Arabidopsis thaliana: one gene and its partners. The protein of the gene in region 1 interacts with the protein of each later gene in a pairwise test. Each region holds a gene or a part of one and is shown in the gene's direction. Other genes may lie near its edges. The genes, in order: AtRZ-1c, AT2G44710, RCF3 and AT5G06770.

Region 1 (5,676 bases):
CACCACTAGTTTTCTAAAAGGTTAGGATATTAGAACATACGTCTTGAAACCCTAGCATCTATAATTCTTTGTAACCATATATTCAAAATTTATAGATACTCAAAAATTTCCTAAAAGTATTAAAATTTGTCAATAGTAAAAAGCTTCGCACACAATTATTTTGTTTGGGAAGATGAGTTATCTACCCATATCATGGCAGACAACCTGGTACCTTTGCCTCTGTCCACATTATCATAGATTATATATATTTTTGGTTTTATATTCCATTTCTCTGTATTTTATACTTTAGAATCTTATTTACACAAATTTAGTATATGATTTTTTTTTGTATCTTTAGATGTAACTTTTTGATGACATTAAATAGATGGTATATTAGGTCAAATAATCAAAGTGTAACAGTATATACTATTATAGATCTATGTCATATATGACCTATTTAATTTGTTGGAATCTCTCGAAATGTACAAAATAATATTGGTTAGGTTTAAAAATGTTTAAGCACCAACTGGATCATTATATTAAATTAATAATCCAAGTGGTATTAATTACAATTAAACTTTCTTATATGCATTTCTTATAAAACTTTCCCTCGAATCTTGAGAGTCATTTTAGTAATTCGAAAGGAAACTTAGTTTAACAAATTTTCCTATAAAGAAAAACAAAACCGATTTCCTTGTACATTTGCGGATGACTATTTCTACAATTACAGTTTATGAATTCGTTCATAAAGCCTTTTGGCCATACAAATTTTGTATACCTCCAAATTTTAAGCCATATTTAACCATCTTGCTTAAGTAATGACCGTAAAGTCAAGTACATATCTGTCCACATGGGAACATGGATGCTTCTAAGCTAGTAATTATCCACATGATGTTGCAAAGGCACCGTTTTATACATAATGCCACACATGTAAAGCCCGGAATAATATGTGATATCTTAAACCATCACATACCTCCCTAAGATTTGTATGGAAATATATAAAAATTATTATGCTACAAAAATTCATTCGTCTTGTAATGAAAAGTAAAATTGTTTAAACGTACGTTTTAGAAAAAAAAGAAGAAGAGAGAAATTGTGCTATTTACATTACTGTTTTTTTTATTTGCATTAGAAATTTTGTTACTAGGTGCAAATACACTTAAAAATGAAGAATGTGTACCAGGATAGTCGGAGTTCTGTCTTAGGATGATAAATATACAAATCCTATAGGTTGTTTTGCTCCAAAACTGTGGGCTGGTTAAAGTTAGTTTATTAGCTAGGTAATGCGTGATTAGGTCATCTACACATAGTGACTTGGATCTCACGTGGAATAAAGCTTCTGATATCTTATTTTATTGTAAAGCTAAACAATATATATTGATCAGCTAAAACATATTCGATGTAATTTTTATATGCATGTTCAAATTTTCAAGTAAAAATTGGCAAGAGATCTTATTGGGAAAAACCCTCAACTACAATTATAATTGTTTTTTTTTTTGCCTCATTACAAGCTTAAAGGATGTATTTATAGTATACAGAAAAAAGAAAAGACTTATTTTTCTGGTCGGTCATTGGTGGATCCATGAGCTTAACAGAATAAACTTATGACTTGGGCCCATAGAGAAATTTGGGCCTAGGTCTGGGCCTCTGTTGTTAATCATCAGAGCCTTTAGGCACTTGTAGTGTACCTTTCTCGTGGCGTAGTACCTCAACCACCACCATTTTAGGGTTTCTTCGTGCCATTGATATTTTGAGAGGCGAAGGAAACAATACGATTCAGAGAGAGGTAAGATGAATCTATTCGTGTAATTCTAGAATTAATATCGAGTTTAGTCGTTGGAGATTTTTTTGTTCGTTTACCTCAATTTGTTTTGTTTTCTGTGAATAGACGAGTGAAAATGGCTGCAAAAGAAGGTAGTAGGATTTTTGTCGGTGGTTTATCGCCGGAAGTGACAGATAGAGACCTTGAAAGAGCTTTTAGCCGCTTCGGAGACATTCTCGATTGTCAGGTACCAATTTGAAATTTTTGTTCTATGTTTTGTTCTTCTCTGTGTAGGTTGGTACTATTTTTATTCCTTGAGTTTATCATAGCTTGTGCCTGCACTAGTCCTATGAAATTTAGAGATTGTTATCTAAAGCTTTGTGATAAGAATTGAACATGTCTATGAATATTTTTGGAATGTTTTAAGTTGAAAGTGGTATATTTGCTTGAGCTGATCGTGAAAACATATACTTGAAAAAATGAGATTACACTAATAATACAGAAATACAGAGACGTTTGAGGATTAGTTGAAAAGTCTTGCTTTGCATTATTCCTCTTTTCACTTATTGATCTTCCCTTTTTTCTTTTTTTTCCTGGATGCTGGTAATGTATCACTGAAACACTATAGATTGATGAATTAGGGATGATATTGATCAGAGCTACATGGTTCAAGTTGAGAAACTACTCTGTGATAAAGAATTAAACTGCCTGAGATTTTAGGATATACAGTAGTGTTTGAGTTTCTGAGCAAATTGATTTCCACACTTTTGGAATGTGTTTCACAAGGTTGGGACTGTCGTAACTGGTTACTTCAGTTTCTTCTATCATCAAGGAAATTCTTTATTTTGCTCTGGAGGGATGACTGTTTTTTCGTAACTCATGATTGAGATGTGTAATTCTTGAGTTCTCTAAGTATGCCGTGACTGGGTTTTGGTTTACTTCCTGATAATGTTCCTTGTTACTGCTCTTACTAGTAATTAAATGTTTGTTTGCTGGCCTGGGATACCTGATTTGGTTTTGAGTGGTCAATTCGAGATGCTACCCAGTTTAGGCCAGAGTCTCAGTTCTTCTTCAGGTGGTGAAGATATTTAGGAACTCCTTGCAGTAGTTACGTTGTGTAGTCATATTTCTGGATAATCCCAGTCTACATTCAGTTGTCTTGCCGCAAGATTTCGTTTTCTCCTCATACCCTGAGCATCAGTGCAAGCAGTTTGGATTCTTCAGCGTAGTATGAACCTGCAGAACGGAAAATTACACTCAGTTGAAGCAGAGATCTCAAGGTTTCGGTGATCCTTTTCTTATCCAGATTTCCTACTTGTCTTTCTTGTGGGCTGTTTGCTTTACCTCATCTCGCTTCTCCTGCCATGTGTGGCTAGTAGGAGTTACATGGATTTGATCTTTTCCTTTCTCTGTTCTTCTTTTTCAGTCTTACAAATTTCCTAATTTTCTAATGCAAGCCAATTAAAATGATTCTTGTGCCTGGGCCACACATTTTCTATATCCACCAACCCCAGTTCTCTGTGCTTATCTTTTCCGGAAGTTTCTGAAACCTGATAAAGCTCTTTGTGTGAGAGGAATTCTGTATTTCTGATCTGTGGGTTGTGGTGCTATGTAAAGAATCGTCAGCTCCAGTGAATCTGAATGACTTCAGCTGGATCAATGTCAGATGATATCTGCATATTGAGTAGAAACAGATGTTTGATCAGTAATTTTGAGTACAGCTAATTAACTGACTTCCTTCTCTGTAAACCTTCCTCTCTTTAGTTTTGCAACTACATCACATGGCTGTTGAGAATAGGGATGAACTAGTATACTATCTAAGGGCTTAAATTGAGGAATTTTTCATTTTGAACTGAGAAAAAGTTGTTAGTGCTTTCTGCTACCTCTGCTTGAGATTGGAGACTTACTTTAAAGTTGATTCAGTTTCTGGGGATCTGTACTGTGTTTTGCTCTGAAGTTGAGGTTGATTGACTATTTACTACACAAAGCAGGGTCACAGTGTTATGCAGTGAACCTTAAAACGGTTGGGTGTTTCTTGATGTCACATGGGCTTGATATGATCTTTCAGATTTTGCAATCGTTTCATTTTACTACTGCCCTTCTGCTCACTTTTAGCTACACGTATGCATATATCTTTGGGAAATCAGCTTTTATGGTGTATTGTGTATAGATCATGCTGGAAAGAGATACTGGTCGTTCACGTGGATTCGGGTTTATCACTTTTGCTGATCGCCGCGCTATGGATGAGTCCATCAGAGAGATGCATGGAAGGGACTTTGGTGATCGGGTCATCTCAGTGAACAGAGCTGAACCAAAACTGGGGCGAGATGATGGAGAAAGTCATGGCTCTAGAGGTGGCAGAGACAGTGGCTACTCGATTGCTGGAAAAGGAAGCTTTGGTGGAGGTGGAGGTGGAGGTGGGCGTGTTGGTGAAGATGAATGCTTCAAGTGTGGACGGGTTGGGCACTGGGCCCGTGATTGTCCTTCTGCTGGTGGTGGTCGTGGAGGACCTGTTGGTGGTTTTTCTTCACGTGCTAGTGCGTATGGAGGATCTGATGGACGTGTTGACCGCTATGCTGACCGTGACCGCTATGTGGACCGCGAACGATACATAGATGATCGATACGACGGTGCTGCACGCTATGGTGCTAGAGACAGGTTTGACAGCAGAGAAGCCTACATACCCCGTGATCGATACGCCAGTGACAGGTTAGAATCAAGTTTCTAATGCAACTCAGATTATTGTAAGGTTATCAAAGTGACTTGCTTTTCTTACATAACTTTATTCTTATCTGTGATTTTACAGGTATGCAGCCCCGGCTGATCGGTTTGCAGGTGGTGATAGATACAGCCGTGGATCAGACCGTTATCCTCCAGGGAGCTATGACAAAGCTCGGTCCTTTGAGAGAGACATAGCCCCGAGTGCAGGCAGTGACAGGTACGGTGGTGGTAGAGCTGGTGGTCCCATCCGTGGAGGAGGAGAGGAGGGAAGAGGGTTTAGAAGCAGAGCCGGTGCTCCTTATGAGAGACCGAGCAGAAGTGGTGGTGGTGGAGCTTATCCGTCGTCGTCCACTTTTGACCGTTATTAAGACACATTAATGAAAGAAAGTGAGAATGATGCTTGGTTAGAGCTCTATACACTCAGTCGTGTGTGTTGCTTGTGGTAATGAATATCTCTGTAAGCGTTATAGGTGTAAAAGACTTGTCTTTTTTATTTATATATGATTAGTTTGCGGACCTGTTTAGCTTTGTATTTTGATCCTTTATTATTTTTGGTTTGTTTTGGACCATAACATGACTTTTGAGCTTCGTCAGTCAATGTTAAACCTTGCACACATAACTAGCCTTTTTAGTTTCATCATCAATGTACAAGAGACGAGTGTCTTAGGCATCCGCATGTTATTCTAAAATTTTGATTTATTGTTTTGTATACTGTACATATTGCTTCATATTGTCAAAATTTTCGTTTTTTCCTATAAGTTCAATCTATTACCAAATAGGCAAATAAAACGAAGCAGAATATTATTGTAGAGACAAAAGAAAAGTTGAGAAATTAATTAAAACAATAAAGAGTCCAAATCGATTGGATAATAAAAAGGCCTTAAAAGAGTAAAGAGTAAAAAAAAAAGCCACTCAAAAGTCGGAAAACAATCACATCTATAAACGTTTTCTTCACTCTCTCTGCTACTTGTCTCTCAAAAGAAATGCAATTGTGAAAGCCCTAAACTAACCGTGAAGAAGACGATGGATCGCAAGGGAAAGGGTAAACAGGTCGCCGGTAGTGATTCGTATTCCGGCGGACAGAAAAGGAAAAACTCCGTCGAATTCAGAGATGAAGGTTTGAGGATTAAGAAGCGCAAAAACCCTGAGGTTCTTCAGTTCTTCGAAGAATCAGCTGAAGTTGGCTACTACGGAGGCAGCTCCGACGAAGATGA
Region 2 (6,761 bases), on another chromosome or scaffold:
TCTTCTCCTTTAAACTAGAGTCGATGTCTAGCTCCAACGAACCACCGCGAAAAACCGACCAACCATCGTCGTCATCGGCATCGGCATCGGCATCGCCGTCATTGTTTTTGTCACTGCCACTGGAAATCATTTCGATGATCTTAGCCCGCGTCCCAAAACGATATTACCCAATCCTCTGCTCCGTCTCCAAGAACATGCGGAGTCTTGTTCGCTCGCCTGAAATTCACAAGGCTCGATCTTTACTCGGAAAAGATTATCTCTATATCGGCTTCATCGACGAAAATTATCGCCCCGTATACGACTACTGGTACACTCTCCGGAGAATCGAGAACAGTACGACCGAGAATCTCTTCGAATCCATTGAGTTCCCTTATCCTTCCGAGCCTAATCGATTTTCCATGAACGCCGTTGGTCCAAAGATCTTCTTCATTTCAGAATCTTGTACTCCTTCATCAAGACTTTCGATCTTTGACACCCGATTTGGGGAGTTGCGTCAAGGACCTTGTTTGCTAGTGAAGCGAGGGTACAATTGCGTAGGACTAGTCGGCGGTAAGGTCTATGTGATCGGAGGCTATCAGGACGACGAGATTGCAGCGGAAAGCTTTGATCTAAATACGCAAACTTGGGAAGCAGCGCCGATTCCCGATGAAAAAGAAAGTCACAGGTGGATTTGTAAAGCAAATGTTTCATTTGACAGGAAGGTTTGTGCTTTAAGATCTCGTGAAGGCATGACTTGTTATGACACTAGAGATGGTTCTTGTCAGAGATCTGAGATGCCTAATGATCAATGGTCTAGAGTAGGATTGTGCGTGATTGACAATGTGCTCTTTGTTTACTTCTCTAGATTCGGGTTAATGTGGTATGACTCTAAACTGATGCTGTGGAGAGTGGTTTATGGTTTTGATCTTGACAACGCTCGATCAGTTGGAATCGGGGAATACTACGGAAAGTTGGCGTTTATATGGGAAAAACCAAGTCTTAATGTTAGTGAAAGCAAAGAGATTTGGTGTAGAATGATTGGTTTGCTTAGGAGTGAAGTAGGAATTCATGGAGCTGCAGAACCGTCTCAACTTGTCGAGATTGTCCCTAACGGTTATAGAATGTGTCATTGTCTGTCTCTTTCAGGTTAAAACATGTCTAGTACTACTTTCTTTGGTGTAAAATGATTGTTTTGGATAGGAGTGAAGTAGGAATTCATGTGACTAAAGATGATGATGTTTAATACTTTCGTTAGTCTATATCAATACAATGTGTTACAAGATTATGAATGTGTTGCGGCGTTTACGTCTTCAACTCTCGATTTATTCAATTAATGTTGCAGTTTCAGCATCTTCCTCTGTTCCACCTAATCAAGTTTGTGTTATTGTAAACTCACTCAGTTAAGTGTATTTTACATCGGAGTTGTTGTGTTGTGTTTCTCTTGCCCATTAAACCGATTCCATCGAAAACTGTATTCTTAAACCGAATAATGCAAATATAAATTATAAACCAAGACGAAACCAAAAAAAGATAACCGAAAATGAATGAAAACCGGACTGAACATCGGTAATACAATTAGTCAACCAACACACTTGAAACTCCATACGAGTAAAGGCCCATTGGGGATGAGGATATTTGGGCCAATCCTTCTTACCGTTTTTCGTTTGTTAACAATTACCGAATTAAAAGCTTGATCGCCACGTCTTTTTCTTAATAGAATATATTGATTTTATTTATCTTTTATTTTTAGACCAAGCTCAGGCTATCATCTCTCCGTTAATTAGGGTTTTCTTCTCTATCTCGATTTCAATACCATTGTTGATCCGCTGAGCTAGGGTTGTTCGATCCCGATAATTGTGTCGCTTAGCTCTGATCTCTGTTCATCGAATTTGGTTAATTTGTTTTGATTGGTTAAGATACATTGGAAAGCGATGCCACCGAAGGTTGTGAAGAGGGGAGGCGCCGCGAGAAGAGGTGGGAGGCTTACGAGATCGGCGCTCAAGGCGCAGAATCCTCACGTGGAATCTTCCCATGACGAATCTGTTAATATCGGTGAGCTCTCAGGCTCCGATGCACTGGAAGCCAAGGAGGTGACTCCGGAGGTTGATAAAACTGTTGAGGAAGAGAATCCATTAGATGTGCCGAAGTCATCGGATTCAATTGATGATTCTGAAGCTGCAGCGAATCCGCATGTTGATGTTCCGTCGAAAAGTAAGATTCTTTTAGCCTGGTTATTAATTTTGTTTCGTTTTTGGGATTCTCTACGTTTTCGTTGTTTTGATGGATCTAAGTTTCGCTTTGACGAAAGTTTGTGACTTAGAGTTCCAACATATCTGACCATAGAGATTAAATGAATGTCTGACCATTGAATGTATGAATCTAATTTGGAGGATGGATGTTTAGCTGTTTTTAATTCTGTGGAAGATAGACGTATCTTCTGAGATTGTTATCTCTGAACAAACTTTAGGCTACCTGGAATAGTGTAGATGTTTTACTCGCTTTTACTCGCAGAGGAGACTGAGGTAGAGGAATCTGTGGATGATTTTGGAAAAGATGAAAGATTGGATTTAGATGACAATGAACCTGAGTATGAGGCTGAGGAATATGGCGGGGAGGAGTTTGAAGAGAGGGAATTGGGACAGGAGGACCATGAGTTGGTAAATGAGGAGGGGGAAGAACTGGAGGAAGAGATTGAGGTCGAGGAGGAAGCTGGTGAGTTTGCAGACGAGATTGGAGATGGTGCGGAGGACCTTGATAGTGAGGATGATGATGATGATCATGCTATTGAAGAGGTCAAGCATGGAGAAACTGTTGATGTGGAAGAAGAAGAGCATCATGATGTTCTCCATGAGAGGCGTAAGCGTAAGGAGTTCGAAATATTTGTTGGGAGTTTGGACAAAGGTGCTTCGGAGGAGGACTTAAAGAAAGTGTTTGGTCATGTGGGCGAGGTGACTGAAGTTAGGATTTTGAAGAATCCTCAGACAAAGAAGAGCAAGGGTTCTGCTTTCTTGCGTTTTGCAACTGTGGAACAGGCAAAACGAGCTGTTAAAGAGCTTAAAAGCCCAATGGTAATTGTCTACACTTTAGTATTTGATGGAGAGTTTGTGTAGCTTTACATTTTGTATCATGCTCTTGGTCATTGGGACTGCAGATAAATGGTAAAAAGTGTGGTGTAACTGCAAGCCAAGATAATGATACCCTCTTCGTTGGTAACATATGCAAGATATGGACCCCAGAAGCTGTAAGTATTTGGGTGTCCGTAGATATGTCAATTAAACCCAACTCCACAGTTCGTGGTGATCCTGACAATCAGGTATTTGTTGTTGTTCCAGTTGAGGGAGAAGCTTAAACACTATGGAGTTGAGAATATGGATGATATAACGTTGGTAGAGGACAGCAACAATGTCAACATGAATCGAGGGTATGCCTTTTTGGAATTCTCATCTCGCTCAGATGCCATGGATGCTCACAAGCGTCTCGTCAAGAAAGATGTGATGTTTGGAGTTGAGAAGCCTGCAAAGGTCTCTTTTACTGATTCTTTCTTAGACCTGGAAGATGAGATAATGGCGCAGGTACTCACATTGCAGGATCAATTATTTCTAGCAACTTTCATCCTACCATGTCTTCTTTAGAGCGTTGGAGGAGTTTATAGGGGCATGTGTGGGTGCCACCTATTCTGTATGGTGACTTAGAATACTTGCTAAACCCATCATGAAAACAGAGTCAGAATACATATTCCTTTTGGCCCTCTAACAACATGCTAGATACTGAATTATTGATTGTTGGTGAATCTATTATATCTAACTTATCTATCTTGCTCATAGTAATTAGTTTTATGATATTTCTGGTGTTACAGGTTAAGACAATCTTCATTGACGGTCTGTTACCTTCATGGAATGAAGAACGTGTTAGAGACCTTCTGAAACCATATGGTAAACTTGAAAAAGTTGAGCTTGCTCGCAATATGCCATCAGCAAGGAGGAAAGATTTTGGCTTTGTAACTTTTGATACTCATGAAGCTGCTGTGAGTTGTGCCAAATTCATCAACAACTCAGAGCTAGGCGAAGGGGAGGACAAGGTATGCATAATTTAAATGCATTATCCTTATCCACGAAGTATTTTCTTGCTTTCTAATTCTCTTTTTTTTTCCAGGCAAAAGTGAGAGCACGCCTGTCTAGACCACTTCAGAAAGCAGGTAAAGGCCGACAATCTAGTCGCTCAGACCAGCGGTCTAGGCATGGGGCTGGACGGTCTGGAAGGAGTTCATTTGCTCGTCTTCCACCTCGTAGCCTTGCTTCCTCTCGGAGTGCTAGAGGCGCTGGATCTCGGGCCCCATCTTCTAGTGCAAAGAGAGCTTCTGGATCAAGAGGAAGACGTCCTCGCCCACCTCTACCTCCGCCTGCAAGAGCTAGGCCCTTGCCTCCACCTGCAAGAGCCAGGCCCATGCCACCACCTGCAAGAGCCAGGCCCTTGCCACCACCTGCTAGGTCATATGATAGAAGACCTCCAGGTACCACTGGAATTATTACATGTTTAGTTATCTTTTTTAGTTGAATCTCTTTTGTGTTCATGTATCTAATGATTCTGATCATATCTTCCATATTGTGTTTTGCAGTTCCTCTGTATCCAAAGGCTAGCTTGAAGAGAGACTATGATCGGCGTGATGAACTTCCTCCTCCAAGAAGCAGACCAGCTGTAAGCTATAGTTCCAGGCTTTCTCCTGAGAGGCATCTGTCTTACAGAGATGATTATCCACCCCGGGGTTCGGGTTATTCAGATCTTCCTAGAAGTTCTTCTCGCTCTGAAATTAGGAGGCCATTCGTAGATGACCTTTACAGTCCGAGATTTGAAAGACCTCCAAGTTACAGTGAGGGAAGACCTCGTGCTTATGAACCTCTTCCTGGATCAAAGCGTCCATATGCTGCACTGGTCTGACTTATTGTTTTCTCCGACCAGTTTGTCTTCTTAATTTTGTTTCTTTAGACTATGATTGTTTACTCTAACGAGTGTTCATTATTCAGGATGACCTTCCTCCCCGTTATGCTGATGTTGATGTTCGTCATTCAAGACCCCGTCTGGACTATGATGTTGGCCCATCTCAATATGGGGAATCCTACGGGGACCGGTATGTTCTCTTTTTATGGATAGCTTCAGTTATTTTTGGTAGCAATTTTCTGTGCCAAGTGTATTATTTTCTTACTTCCATGTTTGGTCTAGGATTCCTAGGTCTAGTCTAGGATATGGAAGCAGCCGAAATTCTATGTCAAATCATGACTCGCGGGGCCCATACAGCAGTCGTCAGGGAATGGATTATGGAGGAGGTTTGATTCAGAACTTGGCTTAACAGAGAGCAATACTTCGTCGAGATACACTTACTGCCTTCAATGGCTATAATTTCATAATGTTGCTTTCTTCAGGTTCTTATAGTGGCAGCGATGTAGGAGGTATGTACTCGTCAAGCTATGGTGGCGACTTACCCAGAAGAGATGTAAGTGGCTTCACACTTTCCCCTTTTTTATATTTATTTTGGAAAGTCAAGTTGTGTAACATTTTAGTATTGGATTTACAGGGAGGAGGTAGCTCGTATTCTTCAATTTACTCCAGCCGTGGCTTGGGTGGTAGTAGTTACTCTGGTGGTGGTCCAGGATCATACTACTGAATGTGAGTGTGTTTGGTTCCTTCCATCTTTAGTTGTGTCTTTGTGCATTATTTTTTGGTTTTGTTTGTGGGATATATTGTTGGTTGGAAAGAAAACGGTATCTCCTCTTTCAAGCTCTAAGCAGGAACTATAGATCAAATGTGTGCTTAAGTTTGTTAATGGAACACAGAATTTCACATGACCGAGGCTGCTAAAAAAGGAGGTTTGGCCATGCAAAGTTGTGTATGTAGAAAGGAAGCTACCAGCTGCGAAAGGATTAAAGCCAGCTTCGGTGAGACTGTTGGAATATTAATGGGCTTGCATCTACAACTGCACTTGTATCTTTTTTCGGATGGAATGATAAGCTCGAGTTTTATAGAGATGGTTCATAGTTGTGGGACTCGTTATCTATCTTATCTATCTCTATCTCTTGAATAATGGATGGATTTGTTGGAACAGAGATTAAGCTGTGTTTGTATTATTGATCCATCAGTTTAGTTAAGCTTTCACCGTCTTCTCAGCTTAAGATTTGCATTACTTCTGTTTAGATCTGATGCTTGCTCTGTTTTACTCTCACTGTGGTAAAACAGAGACATTATCCTTGAGACTTGTGGAAGAGACATTAACAACCTCTCACTGTCGGAAACTGAGGAACTCCCAATTTTTATACACTTTATAACATACATAATCAAGCAGGGATACATTACTGGTGTTAGACAGATGCATAAGCTAATAAAAGCTCTTTCGATTTCTACAATCTAGAAAATTTGAAAATCACACATTAATTTAATTTATGGCGCCTTTTGATCAGGAGTCAGCTAAAGACGACGACATTCTTCTATCTAGCTTTCTTCTTCTTGTCTTGCTCCTCCGTAGTAGTATAATCTGATAAGCTTTTAGCAAACGCTTCCACAATTCGTTGTTGAGATTCCAAAATCATCTTTGTCCTCTTCATCTCTGTATCCATCCTCATCGCTTCTATCTCTCTCGTCATCTCCATTCTCGTCTGCTCTGTTCTCACCAACGTATCTCCAAGCAGCTTTATCGCACTAGCTATCTCCACCATTGGATCATTATCATCCTCCTCCGTCTTCATCATCATCTCTCTCCCTCGTTTCCCTCCTCCTTCAGGAATTCTCACAAC
Region 3 (5,986 bases), about 20 Mb from region 1:
CGCAAACCTCGATGCCGGAATCATCGGAAACAATTCCTCCGTCGTCGTCATCATCGTCGTTGGGTTTATCCGTTCCCGTCAATCCCATGATTTGAGGACCCCATGACTCATGGGTTCCGGCTAAACCTGAACAAAATTAGAAAAACCCAATTGAAATCAAGCTCGGAATTGCTAAGGAAACTAATCAAATGGGAAAGATGGAGATTACAACAGACCTATGATGAGAAGAGCTTTGATAGGACCATGACCGTACGTTCTGTAGAAGATTTTGATTGCGGCATTGTTAAGCGTCGTCTCTGGGCCGACATCTTCTTTCACGACCTCGCAAAACGGCATCGCTTTTTTTGTTCTCAAACTCTGATATCTGGGTGGGATCAGATTTTGAATAACCGGAGAGGAGAAGAGGAGAAGAAAGGAAAGGACTTTTCTATCGGAAGAGAGAGAGATTGGGTCTGTGGTGTGGTTCGGTTCGGTTTTTTGGGTGGAGGTTAGGACTGCCACGTAGGATTGGTCGGCTGGATTTTATTGGCGGGTAATATCTAACAAAGGTCAACGGTCAAATTTTTTACACGAGAAAACTATGTTGTATAGAAATATAGCACGTGAAAAACGCTAGAAGTAGAAGTAGTACTACGTCAATGGAATTCATATGCATCATATATAAGAGAAGCGATAATGGGTCTGAACACAAGTGGAGCATTAACCTAAAACAATAGCAACTTAGACCATTTGTTGAAGTAGTCACTACACTATTTTAATCTCCGGTTCAATTTGTTGAACTTTATAATGTTTTGCTATTTTGATCCGCGTTGCTTTATATTATATTGGTGTGGTTTCAGGAGAAGACAGATCGAGACACAAAACAAGGCAAGATCGTTACTGACATTTTATGCTGGACACTAGATAATTGTTCACCAGGACATGTGATAATAAAACCTCCATGACTTCGTGGCTGCTTTTTCATTATATATAGTTTAGGTCACCATCTTGTCGTAGCACAACCTGAAAACGCAATACCTTCTCCTGAAACGGAAAATATTTGTTGGGAAGACCTATCATTTGGAAAGTACTTATGCCCGTCAAGGCTCACAATTTAGACGAAACGATCCACCAACAACTTAAGCTTTGAGTCTTTGACCATAAGTGCGAGACGATTTTCTTGTATTGTTAATTTGTTATTGCTTGTTTTTGTGAACTGATCCTTAGTTTTTTTTTTCATCAAAAGTGATCATTTAGTTAAAGACTTAAAGTGCAATGAGAGTTTGGTTTCTTTATTTTTAAACTCTTGAAAAATTAATTTTGTCAATGAAGCAATACAAATTAAATTGCTGAAAAGGGATAGTAAATCGTTTTTTGTCCTTACGGATTGGTGATGAAAATGGTATTCAACGGATGCAATACTTAGATGCACCAAATGATTTTTACCATATGCTAAACTTTAACACTAAACCAATTATACTTTACCTGGTAAATATTAAAAGGATTTTTTGTTTTCCAAAAACAGTTTTAGTATATGTACTTAATTACATAATACCGCGGTTAATAAATAGTTAAAAATTAAATTAGAAAAAAACACATACGTGTCTACAGTTTTAGTCTCGTACATAACACGAAAAATCATCTAATTGGTTACGTATTAATCATATCATTTTTACCTATTAGAAAAAAATTATTTATACATTTTTAGTATCTACTAATACGTTACGTGAGCACAAAAATTCATCTTCATCAGTGCTAATAACTATGCGAAAATCTGATGACGATTCATTTGTCTAACAATTTATTTAGCTTAATACGAGTTTTTAAAGATGAAGCATACCCAAATTTCCCAAGAGACCAAAACGACAACGTTTGGGAGTAGCTAATATCGTAGTTAGCGCACGCCACTAACATCACCCATTGCACGGTCTCTCTCTACTCTCAAACTTCAAAAAGCTTTGGCTTTTTAGATTCACAGGAAAGAACCCTCAAAACACACAAAAAGCTGGTGATTTTTGCATTGCACCGATTCGCCTCCATCGATTTTGGACATTCTTGAATTCTCCCTCCAAGTATTCCTGTGAAATTGACCGGAAAGTTCCTTCCTTTTTCAATTTCCGGTAAAAAGGAAAGTAATTGGGTACTGTAGACTTCCTTCTAGGGCTTGTGAACTTTCTAATCCTTCAGAAAACCCTCGAATTCGAAAAATTTGCTGCGAGATTGATAAATGACTAGTTAAAGATTTGAACTTTGATTTCTGGGTTTGCGATTTTATTCAAATGGAGAGATCTAGATCCAAGAGAAACTACCACTATGACCAAGACTATGACGGAGATTCCATGCCTAGGTCTAAACCTCGCTACAACAATAATTACCACTTTGGTGGTGGCGGCGGAGGAAATAACAGATACCGTGGCGGCGGCGGTGGTGGAGGTGGAAATGGCCGGCCATCGAAGTCTCATCCTGAAACGATGGCAACAACGACTTATCGAATCCTCTGTCACGACGCTAAAGCAGGAGGTGTTATTGGTAAATCCGGGACAATTATCAAATCTATAAGGCAACACACCGGCGCGTGGATTAACGTGCACGAGCTAGTTCCTGGAGATGCAGAGCGTATCATTGAGATTTCTGATAATCGTAGGCGTGACCCTGATGGGAGAATGCCGTCTTTCTCTCCTGCTCAAGAGGCTTTGTTTAGTGTTCATGACAGGATTTTGGAGAGTGAAGCTCAGTTTGGTTATGGTGGACCTCCGCCGGAAGAGGAGGAGGATTACGGTGGAGTTAGACCTGGTGGAGGGAGAGTTGTGACTAGATTAGTGGTTTCTAGGATGCATGTTGGTTGTTTGTTGGGTAAAGGTGGGAAGATTATTGAGCAGATGAGGATTGAAACTAAGACTCATATTCGGATTCTTCCAAGAGAAAGTAACTTACCTCGTTGTGTTTCACTCTCTGAAGAGATTGTTCAGGTCTGAAAAATTGCTATTTTGAGAACATATTTGAAATGGTGAATCTTGTTGAGATTTTGATATGAAATGTAGTCAGTTTATTGAAATGCTAGATAATTTAAATGTGTGATTGTGAGGTTGAGGTTGTTGACAAGAGTTGAATCACTCTTATGTAGTTAGCTTGGTCATTATTTGTTATGTTTAAGCTTTCTTTGGTGTTTTCTACCTATGGGAAATGCATTTATAATGTTGGTTCTTTCAGATTGTAGGTGAACTAAATGCAGTGAAAAACGCTTTAGCCATTGTATCATCTCGTCTAAGGGAGAGTCAGCATCGTGATCGGAGTAATTTCCAAGGGCGTTCACATTCACCAGAACGGTCGTTTGCAGCTGCGGGGGATGATTACATGCCACAGCTAAGAAGACAATCATCCGATAGGTTTCCTCGTGGTAATTTTAGAAATAACAACTTCAGTTCTCGCCAGTCCAACTATGCAGAAGAAGCTCCAGCAGTTCCAGTTGGTGAGAATGTCTACTCCGAAGAGCTTGTGTTCCAGATTCTCTGCCCAGCTGACAAGATTGTTCGGGTTGTTGGGGAATCGCAAGGAATAATTGATTTGCTTCAGAACGAGATCGGCGTGGACGTTAGAGTATCTGACCCAGTTGCTGGATCTGATGAACAGATAATCACCATTTCTTCGGAAGAGGTACTCTAAATACCCTCAGATCTTCTTCAATATTATCTGTTACATTTACAATTGTGAACTTGAAGTTTTGTATTCTTACTTTGCTTAGGCACCTGATGATCCATTTTTCCCTGCTCAAGAAGCCTTGTTGCACATTCAAACTCAGATCATAGATCTTATTCCGGATAAAGATAATTTAATAACAACAAGATTACTTGTCCCATCTAGAGACTCTATATGTTTGGAAGGGAAAGCAGGATCAGTATCTGAGATATCACGATTAACTGGAACAAGCGTACAAATTCTAGCTAGGGAAGAAATTCCCCGATGTGCTTCTATCAATGATGTTGTTATACAGGTATGTTTGTCTATTTTTGAGGAGTCGAGCATTTTCTAAACAACTTCTGGTCTCAAAAGAGAATTCTTATGTGAATGTCGATGTAGATTACTGGCGAGATCAGAGCTGCTCGGGAAGCACTTGTTGAATTAACATTACTATTGAGGAGTCATATGTTCAAGGAGCTCTCTCAAAAGGAGACACCACCAGCTTCCACATCCACAACTGGCCCTCTCGAAGGTGTTGCAGGAGTAATGGAGGTAGCTTCATCAAATAACACAATTCAATCTCGTGAAGGTCCTACTAGTTCGAATCTGAACTTGCAGCAAGTTAGCACAATCTTGCCACAGTTTAAGGTTTTTGTTCTCATCAACAATCTTTTCAATATAAAGGCATCTGTAATCAGTTAGGGTCAGACTTATTTTTGCCATCGAAACAATGTAATATTACTATCAGGCTATGCATAATTACCTGAATACTTGGAAAGTAGTCTATGGTTCTTGTCCATTCGTGCAATGTCCCTATATTTACATATATTTTTCTCTTGGTTTTTATAGGAAGGTTTCGGATCAGTTGCAAAGGCGGGTGAAAGTGAACACCGGGAAGAGGTTCCTGTCACGACAAGCAGGTAGAGAAACTCCCAAATTTGATATATTTTCCCAAAACCGTACAAGTGCTTGTTTCACACCTTTCCTTCCTGCTTTTTGTTTTTTTCTCTAGAATGGCGGTACCACTTGTTACTAGAAGCACTCTTGAAGTTGTCTTACCAGAGGCGGTTGTTCCTAAGCTCGTTACGAAATCAAGAAACAAGCTTGCACAAATCAGTGAGGTAGAACTCTTTTTAACTGGAACTAGATTGGTGCAAATCATGACTCTAATCAAAATCTTTGACGCTTTGTCTTATCTCTTTCCCACTTGATCACAGTGGTCTGGAGCTAGTGTAACCATAGTTGAAGACAGACCAGAAGAAACACAGAATATCATTCGAATTTCGGGTACACCCGAGCAAGCAGAGAGAGCTCAGAGTTTGCTTCAAGGCTTCATTTTGAGCAGTAAGTTTCTCTCTTTCCAAACTTTTATATCCGTATTGTACTGATCTATAAGTCTGATTTCCGTTCCTTGTTTGGTGCAGTACAAGAGGATGGACCGTGAACTTGGACCAGATCATCAGTCAACACAGAGATGAAGATCAAGAAACTGAGAAATGTGGAGTTATGTATGACTTGTTGAATATTAGGATTTCAGTAAGCAGTAGTTTAGATGAACATTCCACATTTTGACCATCACTCTTTGGTTTCTATGTTGTCTATTAGTCTTCTTTGTTTACATTGTTCTGTAACTTATTTAAAAAAGTCATTAAAGTTTAATCCGAATGACTAATCATTAAAGACTCATCTTTAATTCACACCACCCCTATGTATATTGGAAGAACTTAAACGCTGCGTTTCACTTGAGTTAACATCATTGAGATTGGGGTGTTTTTGCCCTAGATAAAGTTTAGGGTGAAAACATAGATAAATCTTAAGTCGTATTTTACAAAAATAGCCACTGCTAAAACCTCACCTGCGGCTTCACCTTTCTTCGAGTTCGTGAAAAAGAGACGTCGCATCGCACCGCCGTCGCCATTTCCACCGTCGTAGCATTGCCGCTTCACTGGTGATTGATTCTTCCTTAACTTCTCTTTTTGTTTTCTCTGTTCTCTTATATCCGTCGTTTTCTAGGGTTTTCTCACTCCTTGTTGTGGAATCTCTCTTTGTAGACTGTCGCACTGAATATTGTTGAATCGAGAAAATGGCTTATGTTGGGCAAAGTAGAAACGTGATTCGGCATGTAGTCTCGAGAGGAACAGCTTATCACAAGTATGAAAATGCGATTCATCATCCTCTCCTTTTCGCTTGTCAAGGAGTTCGATACAGAAAATTAGAAGTTATTCTTACAACGGTGAGGTTTAATGATTCTGAAAGGCATGATTTTTATCGTTTGATTTTGAAATTTCCTTCACATTTCGTTGGGTTGAATTGAAATCAGATGGTGGGT
Region 4 (4,403 bases), 900 kb from region 1:
TCTCTATCTCTCTGCATTTTGTTTCTCTTTAGGCAAAAAGGGTTTTTGATGTCGAAATCTTTCGCATTAGGTCGAGAGAGTTTTTGATTCAAACCTTCCTGATCCACATGAGCTTGATAAGGCCAAGAAGCTACTCAAGGTGAGCGATATGATAATTGATAAGAACTTTGTGACGAGATATCGATTGAAAGAAACAGTGAAGTGAAACTTGGTGTTGTTGTTATTGGATGATATAGGAACATGAACAGGCGCTTATTGCTGCCATTGCAAGGCTTACGGATGCTTCTGATTACGAAAGCGGTAATAAATGTGAACAGCGGCCTTTGTTTATTTCTATTTGTCATGCACTAAGATCACTAACAACAACATAATTTGTGCTGGTGAACCAGATGGAGAAGAACCGTATTCGCATGAGCTTCCAATGCTGCTGGGGTGAGTATGTATGACACCATCACCCCTAGGAAAAATGACTAGCAATATTTCTTTTTCTTCTGTTTTGCTTTAAGGGATCCCAGAAAATGATTTTGTTCATATATGATGAACAATTAGTAGTATTCTTCTAATTTGTGGTTTCAGAATGTATGAAAATAATCGTTAGGAATTTTGTTTGTAAAAACACTATTTTTAAAAAAAAATTCTGAACTTGTGTGATCATCATCAGGCTTGCCATCAGGATCGTTAATAATTTACTTGCTCAAATCCCCAATTCCTGTCTAAACAATGTAAAAAGAATCGAACCAAGCATGTAAATATTGAGAAGAGGCTTTTGACCTTTGAGCATAACATTCAAAATCTGATTCAATTAGCAAGAATATAAGATGGAAAGTGAGATCAACATAAATCACCTGTCACTGAATCCTTCAATTTTAAAAATATTTCAATGGTTACTTTACTTCAATTTATTTTATTGTTTTAAAAAAATATATTCAATGGTTATAAGAACGGTTAACAATAAATTAGTATCAGGGTTATCGTCTTATCGACCCGATGTTAGAAATTTTTTATAATTTTTCTTTTGTTAAAATGACAATCTTAATTCTTAATGGCAATTATATGTTCAATCTTAATGGCAATCTTAAACCGATCGATTATTCAAATTATATGTTCCGTATTTTTTTTAGATTGAATGTTATTGATAGAGTTATCAGAAAAAAATACTACTTTTTAGTTTAAATTACTGTGATTATGATAAAAAATTAAAACGCGCCAAACTTAACGATTTTTTTCCAAAATTTCTACAAATGACTCGTTACCCAAATTATTTTTTCTGTATTTTTTGAATATATTAAAACTAATGTGACTATGATAAAACAATTAAAACGCGCAAATTTAACAATTCTCTATTTTTGAAACCACTGGATGTGAATTAACAATAAATATAAAGTAATATGTGTACAAATAATCAGAGTTGAATATTTTTTTGGTGTTTATTACTTGCATGAGTACAAGTTTGATTCCAGTCTCATCAAATAAACTCTATTATTGTCAAAACATAAATTCATTCTAATGTTAATGTATATACTTTAAATTTATAGTAATCCATATAATTAATAATGGAATTAGTCTCCTGGTCTTTTGGTGTTCCACGAATTAATTTATATTATTAACAAATTAAGCAAACCTCTATCCCCCATTTATATTGTTGAGCTGTGTGTGTGGAGATGATGATGATGATGATAAACCCAATAGAATTTTAAAAGGATAAGAATCGCAAAGCTCATATCACAAAACTTTGAGATCTCATTTCATCTTTCTTCGATTCTACCTACTCCGATTCAATCGATCTTATCGAGACATGGATGCTCGTAAGAGAGGACGCCCTGAAGCTGCTGCCTCTCACAACTCCAATGGCGGATTCAAGAGGTCTAAGCAAGGTTTGTTCTTTCACTCCTCTCCTTCCTATTGTCTCCAATTGGGTTTTAGAAATTCGAGATCTTCACAACAAGAGAGAATGTTTTGGTATCACTTATGTTTGTTCATTTCTAGTTGCAATGTGTGCTCTGTCTCTCGTAAAGGTTGTTCCTTTGTTCATTTTTGTGTTCATTAGAGAGATTAGTCGCAAACCCTTTTTCTGCTTCAGTCTGGTATTACCTTACTTGAGAGTTGGGAGACAATTGATATGAGAAGTTTGTATCTTGTTCTGCTTTGTGTTGTGCTATTGGCTTACCCTTCTTCTCATATTCATTGGATTCATCAATCAACTCCCATTAGCCTTTGTGACCACTCAACATTACTGGATTTACTTGATTGATATATTGATCTGTATCAACTCAAGCTGTTGAGTTCAATTTCAAAACTCTATAACCCTGGAAATTTTCAAAACCAGAATGGTATACTGGTGCCAAGTCCAAATGATATGTATTGAGAAAATTGTAGAAAAGTTTAACCAAGTAAAAGCACTTAATGTTTGCAACAGAGATGGAATCAATTTCAACTGGTTTAGGAAGCAAATCCAAGCCATGCACTAAATTTTTCAGGTTATAAATCTATTTTTTTTCCTGATTGGATCATGAAATTAAGAAGTAATACTGTATAAAGTGTGCTAATGAAGTGGATAGTTGTTATACAGGTACGTAGCACTGTTCATCCTTAAACGAGTTAAAAAGTCAATGTAACAAACTGTGATTCCTCCTAAGAATGGATGATAAGCTTATATGGAGTATAATTTTGGAACTGAACTCTACTGGTGAATCTAATATACAAAATCAACCAAAACTTGTTTTTGTGGCTGTCGTTGTAAACAATTTGTTTATTCTTCTTCTGTTTGATGGTAAGGAAACTGTAATTTTGCATATGCAGCATAAAACCATTGTTCTCAAGTAAGGTTCTTCTTGCATTATCTTTGAACTATCCATGAGTCTTTCGGCTCCTGTGCAACGTGTTGTTCATCGGTGATGCATAATGACTACAATCTGTTTTATTACTTTATAAATTTCTTTCATTATCTTTGTACTAAAACGCTATAGCTTTTTCGAGAAGGTAGCAATAGTGCAACAGCTTGGAGATGTGTCGTTTTGTTCTTTCTCGAATGAATTTGCTGATGCATTATGGTTTGTACTGCAGCACTTCTGGATGTCCATTTGGTGACAATTGCCACTTCTTGCACTATGTGCCCGGTGGGTACAATGCTGCAGCGCAGATGACAAATCTCCGACCACCGGTTTCTCAAGTTTCCAGAAATATGCAAGGATCTGGTGGTCCCGGCGGCAGATTCTCAGGGAGAGGAGATCCAGGATCAGGCCCTGTTTCAATCTTTGGTGCTTCTACTTCCAAGATCAGTGTAGATGCTTCTTTAGCCGGTGCCATCATTGGAAAAGGTGGAATCCATTCCAAACAGATATGCCGTGAAACAGGAGCAAAATTATCGATTAAAGATCATGAAAGAGACCCAAACTTGAAGATTATCGAGCTGGAAGGAACATTTGAACAGATCAATGTAGCGAGTGGGATGGTGAGAGAGCTTATAGGGAGGCTTGGATCAGTGAAGAAACCTCAAGGGATTGGTGGTCCTGAAGGGAAACCACATCCTGGGAGCAACTACAAAACCAAGATCTGTGATAGGTACTCTAAAGGGAACTGTACATATGGAGATAGATGCCATTTTGCTCATGGTGAATCTGAGCTGCGCAGGTCAGGAATCGCTTAGTTATGTCTTTAGACTCTTGAGAACAGATTATGCATTGTTAGCTCCATTATCATTGTGACTTTTTGCTCTCTCTTTTTGTTTTATCAATTTGTTTTATGCGACTCGCTTTGAAAACTTTAGCCCATTCTGTATTGAGCTCTGAAGATTCGACGAGTTCTGTAAGTTACCGATCACAGTTAAAAGACTTTGATATGTTAAAACCCTTATATTACAGCTACATACTATTTTTGTCTTAACTCTTAAGATATCATGCACAATAATATACTTGTTTTGTCTTAACCTATCGATTACAAAACCGGGTTAACCGCCGACATGAGGCGAACTCTAAAGCCTAACACGCGTCAACATCTATCTTCTCAACGACTCAAAGGCTTTCCAACACGTGTAGGACCAATAACTGAAACACAAAGCCTACCACCTCTTCTTCCTCTTCTTTCATGACACGTCTCACTGACGTGTCGTCAAGAACGTAATTAAATATTAAACTATCGTGACGAACGCGAGGCCTATGGCTATATCTATGGGACATGCTCGGTGAGCAAAACAATAAACAAAAGTAATCAGAAGATATCTTTGTAACATCTTTGAATTTCGCTAAAGGAAAAGAGAGAGATTTGGTAAAAATGCAGTCGATGAAAGAAACAGCTTCGAATATTGCAGCTTCTGCAAAATCTGGCATGGACAAAACCAAAGCTACCTTGGAGGAAAAGGTAACAGAATTGTGGTTATTATTAATTTATTGATGTAAAATAATAAA

What was found.
Region 2: the proteins of AtRZ-1c (region 1) and AT2G44710 interact in a two-hybrid assay, tested with the Arabidopsis thaliana proteins (one large-scale study listed by BioGRID).
Region 3: the proteins of AtRZ-1c (region 1) and RCF3 interact in a two-hybrid assay, tested with the Arabidopsis thaliana proteins (one large-scale study listed by BioGRID).
Region 4: the proteins of AtRZ-1c (region 1) and AT5G06770 interact in a two-hybrid assay, tested with the Arabidopsis thaliana proteins (one large-scale study listed by BioGRID).

The regions. Positions count from the first base shown.
Region 1 is NC_003076.8:1,190,584-1,196,259, forward strand, and holds AtRZ-1c (RNA-binding (RRM/RBD/RNP motifs) family protein with retrovirus zinc finger-like domain-containing protein), read left to right. Parts: upstream 1-1,675; 5' UTR 1,676-1,765; intron 1,766-1,867; 5' UTR 1,868-1,877; coding exon 1,878-1,988; exon of another isoform or gene 1,989-3,911; coding exon 3,912-4,450; intron 4,451-4,547; coding exon 4,548-4,830; 3' UTR 4,831-5,176; downstream 5,177-5,676. Other genes in the region: KTF1 (kow domain-containing transcription factor 1), read left to right, coding at 5,486-5,676.
Region 2 is NC_003071.7:18,430,992-18,437,752, forward strand, and holds AT2G44710 (RNA-binding (RRM/RBD/RNP motifs) family protein), read left to right. Parts: upstream 1-1,694; 5' UTR 1,695-1,910; coding exon 1,911-2,190; intron 2,191-2,241; exon of another isoform or gene 2,242-2,465; coding exon of another isoform or gene 2,466-2,490; coding exon 2,491-3,047; intron 3,048-3,130; coding exon 3,131-3,220; intron 3,221-3,311; coding exon 3,312-3,551; intron 3,552-3,835; coding exon 3,836-4,057; intron 4,058-4,131; coding exon 4,132-4,489; intron 4,490-4,594; coding exon 4,595-4,908; intron 4,909-5,000; coding exon 5,001-5,104; intron 5,105-5,196; coding exon 5,197-5,300; intron 5,301-5,396; coding exon 5,397-5,467; intron 5,468-5,548; coding exon 5,549-5,638; 3' UTR 5,639-5,640; exon of another isoform or gene 5,641-5,807; 3' UTR 5,808-6,230; downstream 6,231-6,761. Other genes in the region: AT2G44700 (Galactose oxidase/kelch repeat superfamily protein), read left to right, coding at 24-1,130; AT2G44730 (Alcohol dehydrogenase transcription factor Myb/SANT-like family protein), read right to left, coding at 6,456-6,761.
Region 3 is NC_003076.8:21,513,097-21,519,082, forward strand, and holds RCF3 (RNA-binding KH domain-containing protein), read left to right. Parts: upstream 1-1,799; 5' UTR 1,800-2,258; coding exon 2,259-2,948; intron 2,949-3,189; coding exon 3,190-3,633; intron 3,634-3,721; coding exon 3,722-3,970; intron 3,971-4,056; coding exon 4,057-4,305; intron 4,306-4,506; coding exon 4,507-4,577; coding exon of another isoform or gene 4,578-4,581; exon of another isoform or gene 4,582-4,609; intron 4,610-4,669; coding exon 4,670-4,778; intron 4,779-4,874; coding exon 4,875-5,001; intron 5,002-5,081; coding exon 5,082-5,101; 3' UTR 5,102-5,451; downstream 5,452-5,986. Other genes in the region: AT5G53050 (alpha/beta-Hydrolases superfamily protein), read right to left, coding at 1-126, 216-336; AT5G53070 (Ribosomal protein L9/RNase H1), read left to right, coding at 5,741-5,890. UniProt on the Arabidopsis thaliana protein: Acts as a negative regulator of osmotic stress-induced gene expression. Involved in the regulation of thermotolerance responses under heat stress. Functions as an upstream regulator of heat stress transcription factor (HSF) genes.
Region 4 is NC_003076.8:2,090,180-2,094,582, reverse strand, and holds AT5G06770 (KH domain-containing protein / zinc finger (CCCH type) family protein), read left to right. Parts: upstream 1-1,581; 5' UTR 1,582-1,795; coding exon 1,796-1,874; exon of another isoform or gene 1,875-2,403; coding exon of another isoform or gene 2,404-2,416; coding exon 2,417-2,477; exon of another isoform or gene 2,478-3,004; coding exon of another isoform or gene 3,005-3,063; coding exon 3,064-3,646; 3' UTR 3,647-3,880; downstream 3,881-4,403. Other genes in the region: EML2 (Emsy N Terminus (ENT)/ plant Tudor-like domains-containing protein), read left to right, coding at 71-139, 237-300, 390-436; LEA4-5 (Late Embryogenesis Abundant 4-5), read left to right, coding at 4,270-4,356.